Linked DNA regions of Caenorhabditis elegans. The protein of the gene in region 2 purifies or fractionates together with the protein of the main gene of each other region. This does not show direct contact. Each region holds a gene or a part of one and is shown on either strand. Other genes may lie near its edges.

The links.
Region 1: the proteins of dyf-19 (region 2) and dyf-11 purify together in Caenorhabditis elegans (affinity purification with western blotting, with the first as the bait; one study listed by BioGRID). This does not show direct contact.

Annotation. Positions count from the first base shown.
Region 1 is NC_003284.9:761,749-767,239, reverse strand, and holds dyf-11 (TRAF3-interacting protein 1), read right to left. Parts: upstream 3,489-5,491; 5' UTR 3,472-3,488; coding exon 3,331-3,471; intron 3,102-3,330; coding exon 2,943-3,101; intron 2,562-2,942; coding exon 2,415-2,561; intron 2,359-2,414; coding exon 1,895-2,358; intron 1,659-1,894; coding exon 1,529-1,658; intron 1,479-1,528; coding exon 1,146-1,478; intron 824-1,145; coding exon 590-823; 3' UTR 501-589; downstream 1-500.
Region 2 is NC_003283.11:19,623,154-19,631,085, reverse strand, and holds dyf-19 (Fas-binding factor 1 C-terminal domain-containing protein), read right to left. Parts: upstream 6,038-7,932; 5' UTR 6,025-6,037; coding exon 5,992-6,024; intron 5,945-5,991; coding exon 5,822-5,944; intron 5,713-5,821; coding exon 5,644-5,712; intron 5,281-5,643; coding exon 5,036-5,280; intron 3,742-5,035; coding exon 3,403-3,741; intron 3,200-3,402; exon of another isoform or gene 3,142-3,199; intron 2,306-3,141; coding exon 2,225-2,305; intron 2,089-2,224; coding exon 1,983-2,088; intron 1,850-1,982; coding exon 1,727-1,849; intron 1,670-1,726; coding exon 1,581-1,669; intron 1,259-1,580; exon of another isoform or gene 1,187-1,258; intron 1,158-1,186; coding exon 1,028-1,157; intron 729-1,027; coding exon 462-728; 3' UTR 325-461; downstream 1-324.

The sequences.
Region 1 (5,491 bases), on a different chromosome or scaffold from region 2:
TGTAATTTTATCAAAATGTTCATTTTTCCTTTTTGCATTGCCCATGCGGGTTCTTTTTTCTTTTCAAAACCATCGAATGACTGCCCATCGGGCACTAATTCAACTTTTTTATCCCATCCGTCTTGAGTTTTGTGTTATTCCAACAAACTGGTCTGTTAAAAACGTTTCTTTTTCTTTGTTTGGGTTACAAATAAATTATAAACTTGATATAAACTTGATTGTAAATTTGAAAAAGCCATTGTCAATCAAAAAAAGTGTTGAACGCTCGGGAATTTAAAACTAATCCTGAAAAGGACTTTTTAGACAATTAATAATTAATTAGCTAAGGAGTGGCATTGGAAATTTCCTCCACTTTGTCTCCAATAAGAAATAGTGTTGGACCTAAACAAAACATTTTGTTAGTTACAACATTTTAGTTACATTTTAGTTTTAGTTTTAGTTACAACAACATATTGGTGCAACTTCAATTTTCATTCGAATTTGTAACATTGTATCAAAGCTCTAAGTAATATAAAATAATTTATTTGTTTATCTTTTCATTTAATTCAATAAAATGAAAATCTCCTTCTGAATAGGGAAAACTGAAAGATCAAACATTGGAAATGAATAGTTGAATGCGTTTTTCATTGTTGAGAACTCGTCCTCTAGCCTTGCTCAATTCTTCTTTCGTGTCATTGATTTCTTTTTGTAAGTTTGCGATGATGTTGTAGAGTCTACTGCTGTCTCCGAATCCTGCCGCTTTTTTGTTCTGATCCTCTTGCTCATTCCGTCGCTGCTCACTTCTCCATCGCTCCAGTTCTTTAATCATTGATTCGATGTCGTCCTGAAAAATATATTTTTTATAACGAATGTAATGTCAAAAAATTGATTTTATGTGTAAAATAGTACTTACGTGCACTGAAATTAAATATAAAAAAAACCCCAATTAAAAAATGTTGATTAAAAAAAATTCACGATATGCATAAGCTGTCAAAGTAAAGTAGTGCAAAGGTAGTGAGAAAATACGGTATGTATCAATACATCATCCAAAACAACTTTCATTTGAAAGCCCTAGCATCTTCCGTTGTCTGTATAAATTCGTAGGAGCCCGGAAAATTTCGGGCATTTCCAAGTTTTTCAAACTGTCTGAAATTCATTAAACTCACATTTGCAAAATCAAAAAGCCTTGCTAGCGGATAAGCAGATCTTGTTAAATCCTGAAGCTTCTCCTGCAGTTGCTTCATCTTTTCTCTTTCAACTGTCATAATTTTATCAGCATCGGACTCTTCAACCTGATCCTGTCCTCCTCCATCTTCAATTTCAGCCTTCGTCTCCATGATTTTTTGCACCAAAGCTCCTCTATCTTCTTCATCAACTAAATCTTCAATTCTAGCGGTTCTATCACCATCTTCCTCGTCATTTTCCATTATAAAATTGCTATCGTCTTCGGTTTCCACTTTTGGAGCATCGCTGATGATTTCCGATTTGAGTTCGACTACCTAAAGTGGTATCAAAATTGAATTAATAAACTGATTAACAATGTTATTACCACTTGTGGCGTTGAGTCAACAGTCGCAATTTGTTTCTTTTTCAGTTTTGGAGGCGCTGGCCTTGAAGCCGCGGTTCCGGGTCTTCCCATTGATGTCATAGGTCTACCACCTCCAGCACCAGTCATTGGTCTGGAATTTTCTATGTCAAAAGCTGATTAAACTGTGTGTATCATCATCTCAATCTCAGTGTAAATTTCACTTTGACAACTTATTCTAGAATTTGAAAAAATGTTGGTCAAAGAAGGAGTAAACCAACAATGTTGAAGCCAAAAATTTGCCGGATAATTCAATTTCAGAAAATTATTTAAGTGTGCACTACATTTTTTAAAATGAACTGAAGATAAACCCAATCCGTAAGAGGTTACCTTATCAACGGGGGTCTATCTTCGGGCTTGATCATTCTCGGGCTCTCACCCATCCCACTATCATCAGTTTTCAAGGGTGACGTCACTGGCTGTTGGATCAGTAGTGATTGAGCTGACAAATCAGTTTCCATATTTGATATAACAGTTGGTTCAGAAATCTCATGATCGTCATAACCCTCATCTCCATTCTCATTGTTCGGAGTATCCGGTGCATCTCCATTCACAGCAATCATTGAGTCTTGTCGTTTAAAATGCCGTTCACTCGGGTCTTTTTTGCTCTTTTTGGGTTTTTCGTCTGTTGTGCTCTTTTCCTTCTTTTTCTCCTTGCTGGACTTTTCGCTTGACTTTTCGCTAGACCTGTCACTAGACTTATGCCGTTCTTTTGAACTCGAAGACTTTTTCTTCTTCTCTTTCTCTTCTGCAGATTTTTTCTTCTCCGATTTTTCCTTCTCTTCATGCGTTTCCTTAAAATGATAAAACTGAGTTTATGGGGAAACAAATATTTAAAAGTGCACTCTACCTTCTTACTGCTACGTTTTTTAGTAGTTGACTTCTCTTCTTCATCTCCCTTTTTGTCCTCTTTCTTTACTTTTTTCTTCTTTTTCTCCTCTCCGGTACCATTCCTTGAATTGAAACTCGTAGCATTTGTTCCCAACATTTGCAGCATCTGAATAAATGTAAAAGGTAAAAAAAGCACTAAGAACTGAGACGAGCGAAAGCAATGGCTAACTTGGTGTAGCACTGACCAATCTGGTAATGCACTGACCAAGTTGAAAACGGCTTAAATACTTTATCTTACTATTAAGCATATTTTTATCACAAAAAATCAGAAAATTTAAATAGAAAAAATGATTAGGGCACTAATTTAGTTTGATATAATTTACGGAAGAAATCGAATTTTTTTTTTAAGTTAAAAAAAAATTTCTGATTGACCAGATTTTTTAAAATTTGATTGAAGCGACTTCACATCGAATTGTAAATTCTGTTTAAAATTCTGCGCCTTCTTTTTTCATTACAGATATTTCTTGTTAATAGAATGTAAACTCACTTTGTTGGTTTCTTCCGCGTCCTTCCCCGATATTATTTTGGCGGCTTTGACGTTTTTGAGACTTCCGTCATCTAGAATCTTGATCAGCTTGTCAAGAAAGGCAGTTTTGGTGTTTTTGTCGTTGCCAGCGGACTTTATTTCATCGTCGGTGAAGTCAGTCTGTTAAAATGAAAATTTAGCGAAAATTTATGCGCTGACCAAGTTGGCACAGCACTGAGTAACTTGGCACAGCACTGACCAAAAACTTCGCATCACTGACAAACGAAAACTTTAAAACTAAAGTTGGGCACTGGTTTTTTCTCTTTTTTTCTCATACCACATTACATTTCTTAAAATCTACATTTTCGCGCATAATTTTTTATTATGAATAAAATTTTCAAATACCCACCTTCAAATACCCCGTAGACTTTATCACATTGCTAACTATATCAACAATAAATTTGAATGGTGGTCGTGAAAGCAGTTGATCAGTTAGTTGTGGTTTTTGAATTACTTTCTCAAGAATTTCCCGAGTTTCCTCAACGCTCATCGCACTTTTACTGCAAAAATCTCATTACAAGTTGCGAAAAACATGAAATACATGAAAAACAATATTAAGGTGAAAAATGCTGACAAAAAAGAGGAATGAAACAGCGGTAATACACGCAAGAGAGAGAGAGCACGCTAATATCAGGTGGCGCTGTGTGGCGAGTTGTTGAGGCAGGGGGCACGTTGTCATGGAGACCACCTTACGCGCAAAGAGTGCGTGAGACGATGAGAGCAGCAGAATAATGTGTCTTAGTTGAGGTATTTTGTGACTGATTACAATTCTTTAATTTTCGCACAATATATTGTATTTTTTTCTGATTATATAATACGTCAGAAAAATGGGTGAAAACAAAGAAGAAAGTAGACTGGAATGTTATAAATGGTGGTCAAATTGCGACCAGTACAAGAAATCGTGGAAAATTTTGTTTTTAGCAGATTTACATATATTATGAAAATCACATCGAAACTTTTAGGAAAACAATCTTCATCTAACAATATAATTTTTTCATTGACTCGTTCTTAGCTCTATAAAAACAAAGTAGAAGCTTCTCATGTAGATCAAAAATTATGATTTAATGTTCAGAGGTTTCCCGCGATTGTGGAAATCAAATAGAAATAATCCTTTATTTAAATATACACTGTTTTTATTTGATAAAAACATAAACAAATTGTTTATAAGCCGAATGCTAACATTTATTGTAGAGATATGTTTAAATTTATAATTTCCTGTTTAATATTGAGGTACTTATAACTTTCGTTTAAAAAAAAACATAAGTTCCAAAATCTAGAATAGTAGGCAAAAACGTGAAATAGGCTATATGAACGAAACGTAAAAAATGTCATTTGTTTAAGGCAGCTGAAATTGAATATGACGTCATTTGTAGTAGGCGTTAGAAAAATATATAGTTACAAGTATACTAGACTACTTATTTAAAAAAAAACAAACTAATTTGGTCAATAATTCTAATTTTTATTTATCTTTTTATATGGACAAACATAATAATACAATCCATTTTTTTTTCTACTTTCTTGTGGTTATGGGTATTTAGATTGTCCCATCTTAGGTTGACCTCTGGAAATTAGGGCGCCACATGGCTTTAATGCTTTGACGCCACGATGATTTTTTAAATGAAAATTGCACTATGTAAAAATTTGTGACGTCATATTTTATGAATTTTTGAATCCACGTATTGCCACGATTTCAGAGACCAACAAAAAAAGGGAACACGCTAATTACTCGTGTGTGCTACGTTGTGGTCTACTTTTCAGGATTATTGGATTTTATTGAATAGTACATTTCAGCACGTTTCAAAAATTGAAGAAAAAAACCGAGAAAAGTCCGTTTTCAGTAATGAAAATTCAATTAAAAAATGAAATTTGAATCGCCATGAATTTTTAGAAAAATTTCCAGAAGGTCCATTATTTTTTAGAAAGAGGTTCATTTTTGAAAAATATTTGAAAACTTTCTGTATATAGAAAACTATCAACAAAATATAAAGAAATCAATCACAATAAGCATATATATGTACAAAAAACAATAAGATTGAATTTCCGCAAAACATCATTCGCGCGCGAAACTAACTCAAATTCGGGTATGTACATTCAGCCATAATTGTCAATGTGAACGGGGGTTTCCCGTTTTTCTTATATTATATTTCCCAGCTTCAGCACCTGAAATAAATTGTTTGATATTTTCTTCGTTGAAGAGACTTCATATTTGAAATTACATATTGAATATCCAAAATCTTCGGAAACCCCCAGAAGAGAAAAAAAAGGTGCGAGACAACACTTTTTTTTTGCAAGTATATTCGTTAAAAAATTATTATTCTCATGTATAAATTCAGTAGTTTCCTAATGAGCAGCCACGCTGAATTGGCATTCAAAAGCTGAAAACTTTTGAAAAATTTATAACGTACAACTATATACCGTATTTCCTCTATTAGTCCTGCAGCTTCTATTAGTCTTGCACCCCCTACGAGCAATGCGAAAATTAATTTTGCAAGCAAGACTAATAGAGAAAT
Region 2 (7,932 bases):
TCCCGCCAAAAATTGACTGAAAATTTGAATTTCCCGCCAAAAATTGATTGAAATTTTAAATTTCCCGCCAAAAATTGACTGAAAATTTGAATTTCCCGCCAAAAATTAATTGAAACTTTGAATTTTCAAATTTCCCGCCAAAAATTGACTGAAAATTTGAATTTCCCGCCAAAAATTAATTGAAAATTTGAATTTTTGAATTTCCCGCCAAAAATTGACTGAAAATGTACTAATTCACAATTTTAGTTATAAAAATGCCGAAAATCGATAATTCTTAAAAAAATCAATATTTTCACCAAAAAATCGATAAATCCATCGAAATTTAAAAAAAATCGATAATAAATTTATTATTTCAAAACATTACAATATTCTACATTTTTTATCACAATTGTAGTCGTAAAAAATCAAAAATCAATAATTCTTTAAAAAATCGATATTTCCACCAAAAACTCGATAATCACTCAATTATTCTGCGGCGCAACATGAGCAACCTTCTGCCCGGCGTATTTTTCCAAATTTTCATAGTGTTTTTTGAGTGAAGCCCGAACACTTTCCGATCGATGTCGATGACTATTTTGATTGGAATTATTCGAACCAAACAGCTCCTCCTCACGGCTTATTCTTCGTGCGTCCCGGCCCGAATCCACGTTTCCACCGATTTTTTGCTCATTTCGGATTCTTTCGATTTCCGAGCATTCGGCGGTGAGCAGGGTCTCGAGGTGTTGAAGCTGAAGGAATTTTGGGGATTTTTAAAGTGGGAAAATTGGGAAAAATCGATACATTTTCCAAAAAATCGATAAATTTCTCAAAAAATCGATAAATTTCTCAAAAAATCGATAAAATTCCTAAAAATCGATACATTTTCCAAAAAATCGATAAATTTTTCAAAAAATAGATAAAACTCCTAAAAATCGATACATTTTCCAAAAAAATGATATTTTTCCGAAAAATCGATCTTTCTCAAAAAATCGATAATTTTTCCAAAAGATCGATAATTTTTCAAAAAATCGATAAATTTACAACCAACCTGTCTGTACTTGGCCTCTGTCACCAGCTTCATCTCCGTCACATGTTGGTCAGCCGTAGAAATTTGCTGAGATTTCAGATCCAGCTCGTAGGCTTCTGCTTTGATTCTCTTGATGTCCTGGTCCCGTTTTCTAGAAAAAAAAACGTATAATTCTCATCAATATTATACAAGGAATCGAACCAGGGACCTGTGCGTGATAGCCATCTCTCTACCCAACTGAGCCACCCGGCAGTCGAAAAATTTTTATAGAATAGCTCACCCGACGCAGAATTTCACGCTGATTATTTTTGCAGTTGAAAATTTTTTGATATCTCTACCGGCTGAAGAGTTATGCGCCTTTAAAGTTACAGCGACGAGACAGTGTGGAGGGGGGAGAGACGCAGGGTGCGCGCCTGCGTCTCTCCTCCCCCACACTATTTCGCGCGCAGACTTTGAAGCGGTGTATCTCTGCAACGGTGATAGCTAGCGAAAAATTTCCAACTAAGAAAATGTTCAAAATTTTGCGCTTTACTAGTTTAGATTTCCCCGTAGCTCTGTTGATAACCCAACTTACGCAAAGAATTCGCTCTTCTCCTGCTCCAAAAGCTCCCGTTCACTGCTCAGCCGGAAAAGCAGCTCGGTTTGATCTTTGTGGTAGAATTTCTGAAATGTTTGAGCGTATTTTATAAAAATTCCAAAAATTTTGAGGGGGGAGCATACCAATTTATTAGCCAGGTCCAGCTTCTCTCTCTGCACATTTTCAATGACTCGGTCTTGATTTTCCTTGAAAATTTGACGTTCAATTTTCAGACGGTTCCACTCCTCTTTTGTCCTCCATTTTTCCTTGAATTTTTGGAAATTTTCAGAAAAAATTTTTAAAAAAATTTTTCAAAATTTTTTTTGAAAATTAAAAAAAAAATTTCAAAAATTTCAAAACTTTCCAATACATTTTAAACATTGTACTCTAATTACATACTTGTTCATTTTCATCCTGTTGATTTTTGACCAAATCCTTCAAGCTTAGGTTAAGCTCATGAACTTTCAGTTGCTCAAGCTTCAGAGCCGCCACATCCTCGGAGAGCCTGAAGCTTCATAACTTGAGAACCCGCAGAGCTATCGAAAAATTTTCAACTGACAAAATGTGCTCCGTAACAAGAGCTACAAGTTGTTAGTTGACAATTTTTTGATAGCAAGCTTGGCTACTGAGATATGACTCACTTTGTCTCTCGAATTTTCAGCAGTTCCTCTTGCAAGTGGAAAAGAGCGCTTTGCTCCGAGCTCACTTTATTGGTGCTTGCTCTGGAAAATCAATACTTGTAATTTGTTTTTAGCACCAGAATCAATAGCTCTGAAGGAAAAATTTGAAAAAAAACAAATTTTTAAGGACTGTTTTGCGTAAATCATGATTTTTCAACTTTTTCAGGATTTTTAGAGGATTCTGTAAATTTTCAGAAATTTTCATGTCTATTTTCAGATTCCCCATCCAAAACTACCCTAGACCTAGTTTTTCAGAGCTCTAGCTCCAAATTCCGTAAAATCAGGTGTCAGGTCCGCAAACACCAAGGTACAGTAACCCAAGACACCGAATTTCACGCAAAGTTGCACTAAAAATCTGAAAATGGAGGATTAGGGGTAACTTCGCACGGATAATCAGAAAATCTGCTCAAAATTTCAAAGTTTGGGCCAAGATTTGGCCCGAATTTTTTAATTTTTGAATTGTTTTTTCTAAAATTTCAAGATTTTTTTTCAAGTTTCATAAATTTTTGTGTGAATTTTCAGATTCCCCATGCCAAGTTACCCCTATCCCGAAAATTTCAAAAATTCCGTAAAATCAGGTGTCCAGTCCGCAAACACCAAGGTACTACTGAAGGTACCAACACACCAAATTTGACGCAAAGTTGCACTAAAAATCTGAAAATTGAGGCCTAGGAGTGGTTTTGCACGGAGAATCAGAAAATGAGCTCAAAATTCAAACATTTTGAATTTTGGGCCAAGTTTGCGCACTTGGTTTGTGAATTTTTGACCTTTTTTGGATTTTACTAAAATTTCAGCGTTTTCCAAAAACTTCCTGAAATTTTTATATAATTTTCCAGATTACCCATGCCAAACTACCTCTTTCCCTAATTTTTCAGAGCTCTAACTCAAAATTCCGTAAAATCAGGTGTCAGGTACGCAAACACCGAGGTACAGTAACTCAAGACACCGGATTTGACGCAAAGTTGCACAAAAAATCTGAATCTGAAAATTGAGGGTTAGGGGTAATTTTGCACGGAGAATCAGAAAATCTGCTCAAAATTTTAAAATTTTGAAGTTTTGGGGCGAATTTTTCGATTTTTAAAATTTTTTAAACCGATTTTTTAATATTTTTCAATTTTAAAGGCACATAGTCAACTTACACCACATCCGCCGCAATTTTATCAATATTCGTAGAAATTGTATCCACTTTCCCCACCACTGCCACTAGATCCCCAACCTGACTCGTCGATGACGTCACATTCTCTAGCTGCCTATCGTAATTGGCTTTAAGCCTTTCGAGCTCCACGTGATGCTCATCTTGAAGCTTTGAAATTTGTGCTCTTTGTGCAGTTTTTGAGTCTTCCAGTGCCTTTTCCGAGTCTTTTGACTGGATTTCCAGCTTGGTTTTCCAGAAATTCTCCAAATCTTCCTCGTCTTCTCGTTTCTTGCGTTTTGTGTCTTCAAGCTCACGGTTTACACGTTCTAGCTCGGCTTCTAGTCTGAAATTTGAAAAAAATTGAGAAATTTGTTCCAGAATTTGATTTTTGATATAAAATTAAAAAAAAAATTTTCCAAAAATTTTGAATTTCAAAATTTTTTCAAAATTACCGATTTTAGCTGATTTCCTATCGATTTTATCGATTTTTTCATTTTTTAGCCTAAAAAAACATCCATTATGCTCTTATTTAAAAAAAAAACGACGGAACCTAGCCGATATGGGTGTTATTTTGAAGCTCTCAGTGAGCTGAAGGTGATAAAATACTGAAAAAAAAACAAAATTACCAAAAATTAAAAAATAACTTTTTTTGAATTTTTGAAAAAAAAATTTCAAAGAAAGTTTTTTTAAAGCTGATTTCCTATCGACTTTATTGATTTCTCTATTTTTCAGCATCAAAAACACCAATTATGCCCATAATCCTCTAATTTTTGGATTTTGGGTCCCGCCACGAGGGGTACTGTAGTACCCGAATAATGCCCAAATTTTGAACAATTAGGGTAGTATAGCCGATATGGGTGTCATTTTGAAGCTCCCAGTGAGCTGAAGGTGATAAAATAGCCAAAATTTAAAAAAATTAAAAATTAAAATTTTTTTTTGAATTTTTGAAAAAAAAATTTCAAAAAATTTTTTTTTTCGAAAATTTTTAATTTCAAAATTTTCTCAATATTTATTGATTTATGATTAAAGTATTTATTTTTGATCGATTTTTCACGTTTTCAGCTCCAAAATAACCCCAATAATGCTCAGAACCCTCTAGTTTTTGGATTTTGGGTCCCTCCACGAGTGGTACTGTAGGCACCCGAAATATTCTAAAATTTTGAAAAATGACGGAAACTAGCCGATATGGGTGTTATTTTGAAGCTCTCAGAGAGCTGAAGGCGATAAAATATCAAAAAACGAACAAAAATTTGAATTTGAAATTTTTCGAATTTTTGAAAAAAATTCAAAAAATGTGTTTTTCGAAAACGTTAAATTTTGAAATTTTCTCAAAATTATCGATTTCAGATAATTTTTGTTTGATTTATCTCATTTTTCAGCTTTTTAGCTTCAAAATAACATCCATTATGCCCATAGTCCTCTAATTTCCGATTTTTGGGTCCCGCTACGAAGGGTACTGTAGGTACTCGAAGAATGCCCAAATTTTGAAAAATTAGGGTAGTATAGCCGATATGGGTGTCATTTTAAAGCTCTCAGTGAGCTGAAAGTGATAAAGTAACGAAAATTAACAAAAATTAAAAATTAAGTTTTTTTTGAATTTTTGAAAAAAAAATTTTTTTCGAAAATTTCAAATTTACCTCAAAATCCTTCCCGCATCAAAATTATCCGGTGGTGGAGCAGTAGCCGTTGGCTGTGAAGCCGCCGGAGCGGCTACAGTAACCCCTGGGGTTACTGTAGCAGCTCTTGGCGCCGTGCCAAAAAGGTCGTCGAGGGTGGAGGCGCCTGCGGGTCTCCGTGGAGCCGACGCCGCACCTGATGCTCCAAGCCCAGAGCCCGTGCTTGTGCCAAATAGGTCGCTGAGAGCATTTGTAGAACGACCAGCCTGAATTTAGGAAATTTTGAAAAATAATTTTTTTTCGAAATTTTGAAAAAAATTTTTTTTTTGAAAAATGTCTTATTTTTGGAATGTTACTCTTCGATAGGCCATTTATGATATTACCAGCTTTCAAATAACCCCAATATTGCTTAGAATCCCGTAATTTTGATGTTTAGGGTCCCGCCACGAGGATACTGTAGGCACCCAAAAGTTGATCCAAAAATGAAAATTAACGGGGTATAGGCGATATGGGTGTCATTTTAAAGCTTAAGGTAAGATAAAAACGTTGAAATACAGATTTTTAGAAAAATTTGGGTCAAGAAAAAAAATAAAAAAATTTTCAAAAAACATTTTTTTTTTTAAACTTACCGCTCTCATTTCAGATGTATTTTCTTCCCGGTTTGTTGCAAAATTTACAGTTTTAGGTGCCTGCGGTTCCTGAAAATCAGTCTTATAGCATCATCCAAAATTCAGGCCAAAATAGGCCAAAAGCCTTTTTTTTTTGGATTTTTCGCAGTTTTTTCCCAAAAAGAAGTCACAAAATCACCTTATCCAAGTCAGAGTCCAATAAAAAATCTAGTCCACTACTTTTCGGCCGCGAATTTTTCGAATTTCCCGGCAAATTGGGGGGAGGTGGTGGTGCTGGCTGGGGTGGTTCGGTGTCTAAATTCTGAATAAAATATCGAATTTTTTTTTGAAAATATGCTGAAAACGCACATCTAATAAATCTCCCCACTCATCGTCTGACATACACGAGAAATCTGGAAAATTTTTTTTGTTTTTGAAAAAAACATTTTTTTTCGAAAAAATGCCAAAAAAAAATTTTTCAAAAAACGTTTCTAAAACTAATTTTAACTAACAAAAAATCATTTTTTTCAAGGTTTTGGTCAAAAAATTTGCAAAAAACCGCAAAATCGGACATAATTTCCAGGAAAATCGAAAATTAGCTCTAAAAAATTCTAAAAATTTCCAAAACTCACTAAACTTTTCCAAAACTTTTTAACCAACCTATTTCTAATACCTAAAACCTAAAAATTTCAGTAAAAACATAATAAAATGCGGGAAATCGAGAATAAAGGGTCTAAGCGGGACGAAGGGGGTGAAGCTTAAAGAAGGGGGTTGCCATAGTAACCGACTGGGGCAGAAGCTTCGAGAGTTTGCAGAGGAAGAAAGAAGCTGGAGACGGAAATAATAGGGAAATGTATAGCAGACCTCGCTGATAACAAATGATTACCCGGGGAACCTAGGGGGCATAGGGGAAAGGGGGGTAAACAAGGAAAACTCAGTGGAAATTTGAAAAACAACGACTTGCGGAACAAAAATTGGCAGATTTTGCGATAAAATTCGCTTTTAACCGTGAATTTTGAGTTATTACACAAAAAAGTTGGAAAATAAAATTTTTGCTCAAATGGCGCAGTAGGTCACAGAGATGGCTGGCACCCAGAAGGTCACGGGTTCGACCCCCAGCGTAGCCATTTTTTTTTCAATTGCGTTTCACACATTTAATTATTTTTTGAAAGTGTGCAAGTAACATTTTGCAGTTTTTACTAAGATCTTGAATCTGTCAAAGGGTTTTTCGAATTTTACCGGTTTTTTGGATAGTTCGACCCAAAATTTCAATATTTTGACGCCAGAAACTTTGAAAAATGCCCTAAAATAATTCTTCTGGCAATAAAAGATAAAAAATAAAATTTCGACCAAGTGGCGCAGTCGGTAACAGGGATGGCTATGACCCAGAAGGCCACGGGTTCGACCCCCCGCTAGAGTCAAAATTTTTTTTAAACTCTAAAGCTAAAGACAACGCAGTTAAAAACTATCATGACTTGGAACATGCCTATATTAGGCCTGAATTCGGTTCATTTCAGCCTATTTCGGCCCAAATATTTAAGTTGCTCAAACCTAGCCAATATGGGTGTTAAAACTATCCAAATTTCACGGAGAATCTGAATTTTTAAGTTACAACTCACAAAAAATTAGGGAAAATTGGTCACCGCTATTGGCTCTATGCCATACATGGCCCAAATTGAGTCCAAAACTGCTCTGTGTGTCCGGATGTCCTTATCAGCTGATATCATCAGTTTTCCCCCGCATATCGGTCACTACTAATTTGCGAGTAGCCAGCCGCCGTCTCTGCGTCTCTCATCGATCTTATCATCAACAAAATCGTAAATTGCCCGTTTTATTTGGACGAATCGGCATCTACCGTAACCAACAAATAGACTATGCTTTAAAATTGTTTGGTATGAGTGAAAAAGAAAAATATTGACCCTAGCAGGGGGTCGAACCCGTGACCTTCTGGGTGGTAGTCATCTGTGTTACCCACTGCGCCATTCGTGCAAAATTGGGATTTTGACTTTTTTTTTGCTCTGACCTTAAAACTTTAGGTTTATATGTTATTTTTATTTTTTCAGTTAGGAAACTATGGATTTTAGACTGATATTTAACAAATTAGAGTTGAAAATCTGTATTTAAAAGTTAAGCTGTGTTCTATGACATTTAAATTGATGAATCCTAGCAAATTTAACAAGAAAAAAAATTGACCCCAACGGGGGGTCGAACCTGTGACCTTCTGGGTGGTAACCATCCGTGTTACCCACTGCGCCATTCGTGAAAAATTCCAATTTTGATTTTTTTTCGGCTCTAAACTTCAACTTGTTG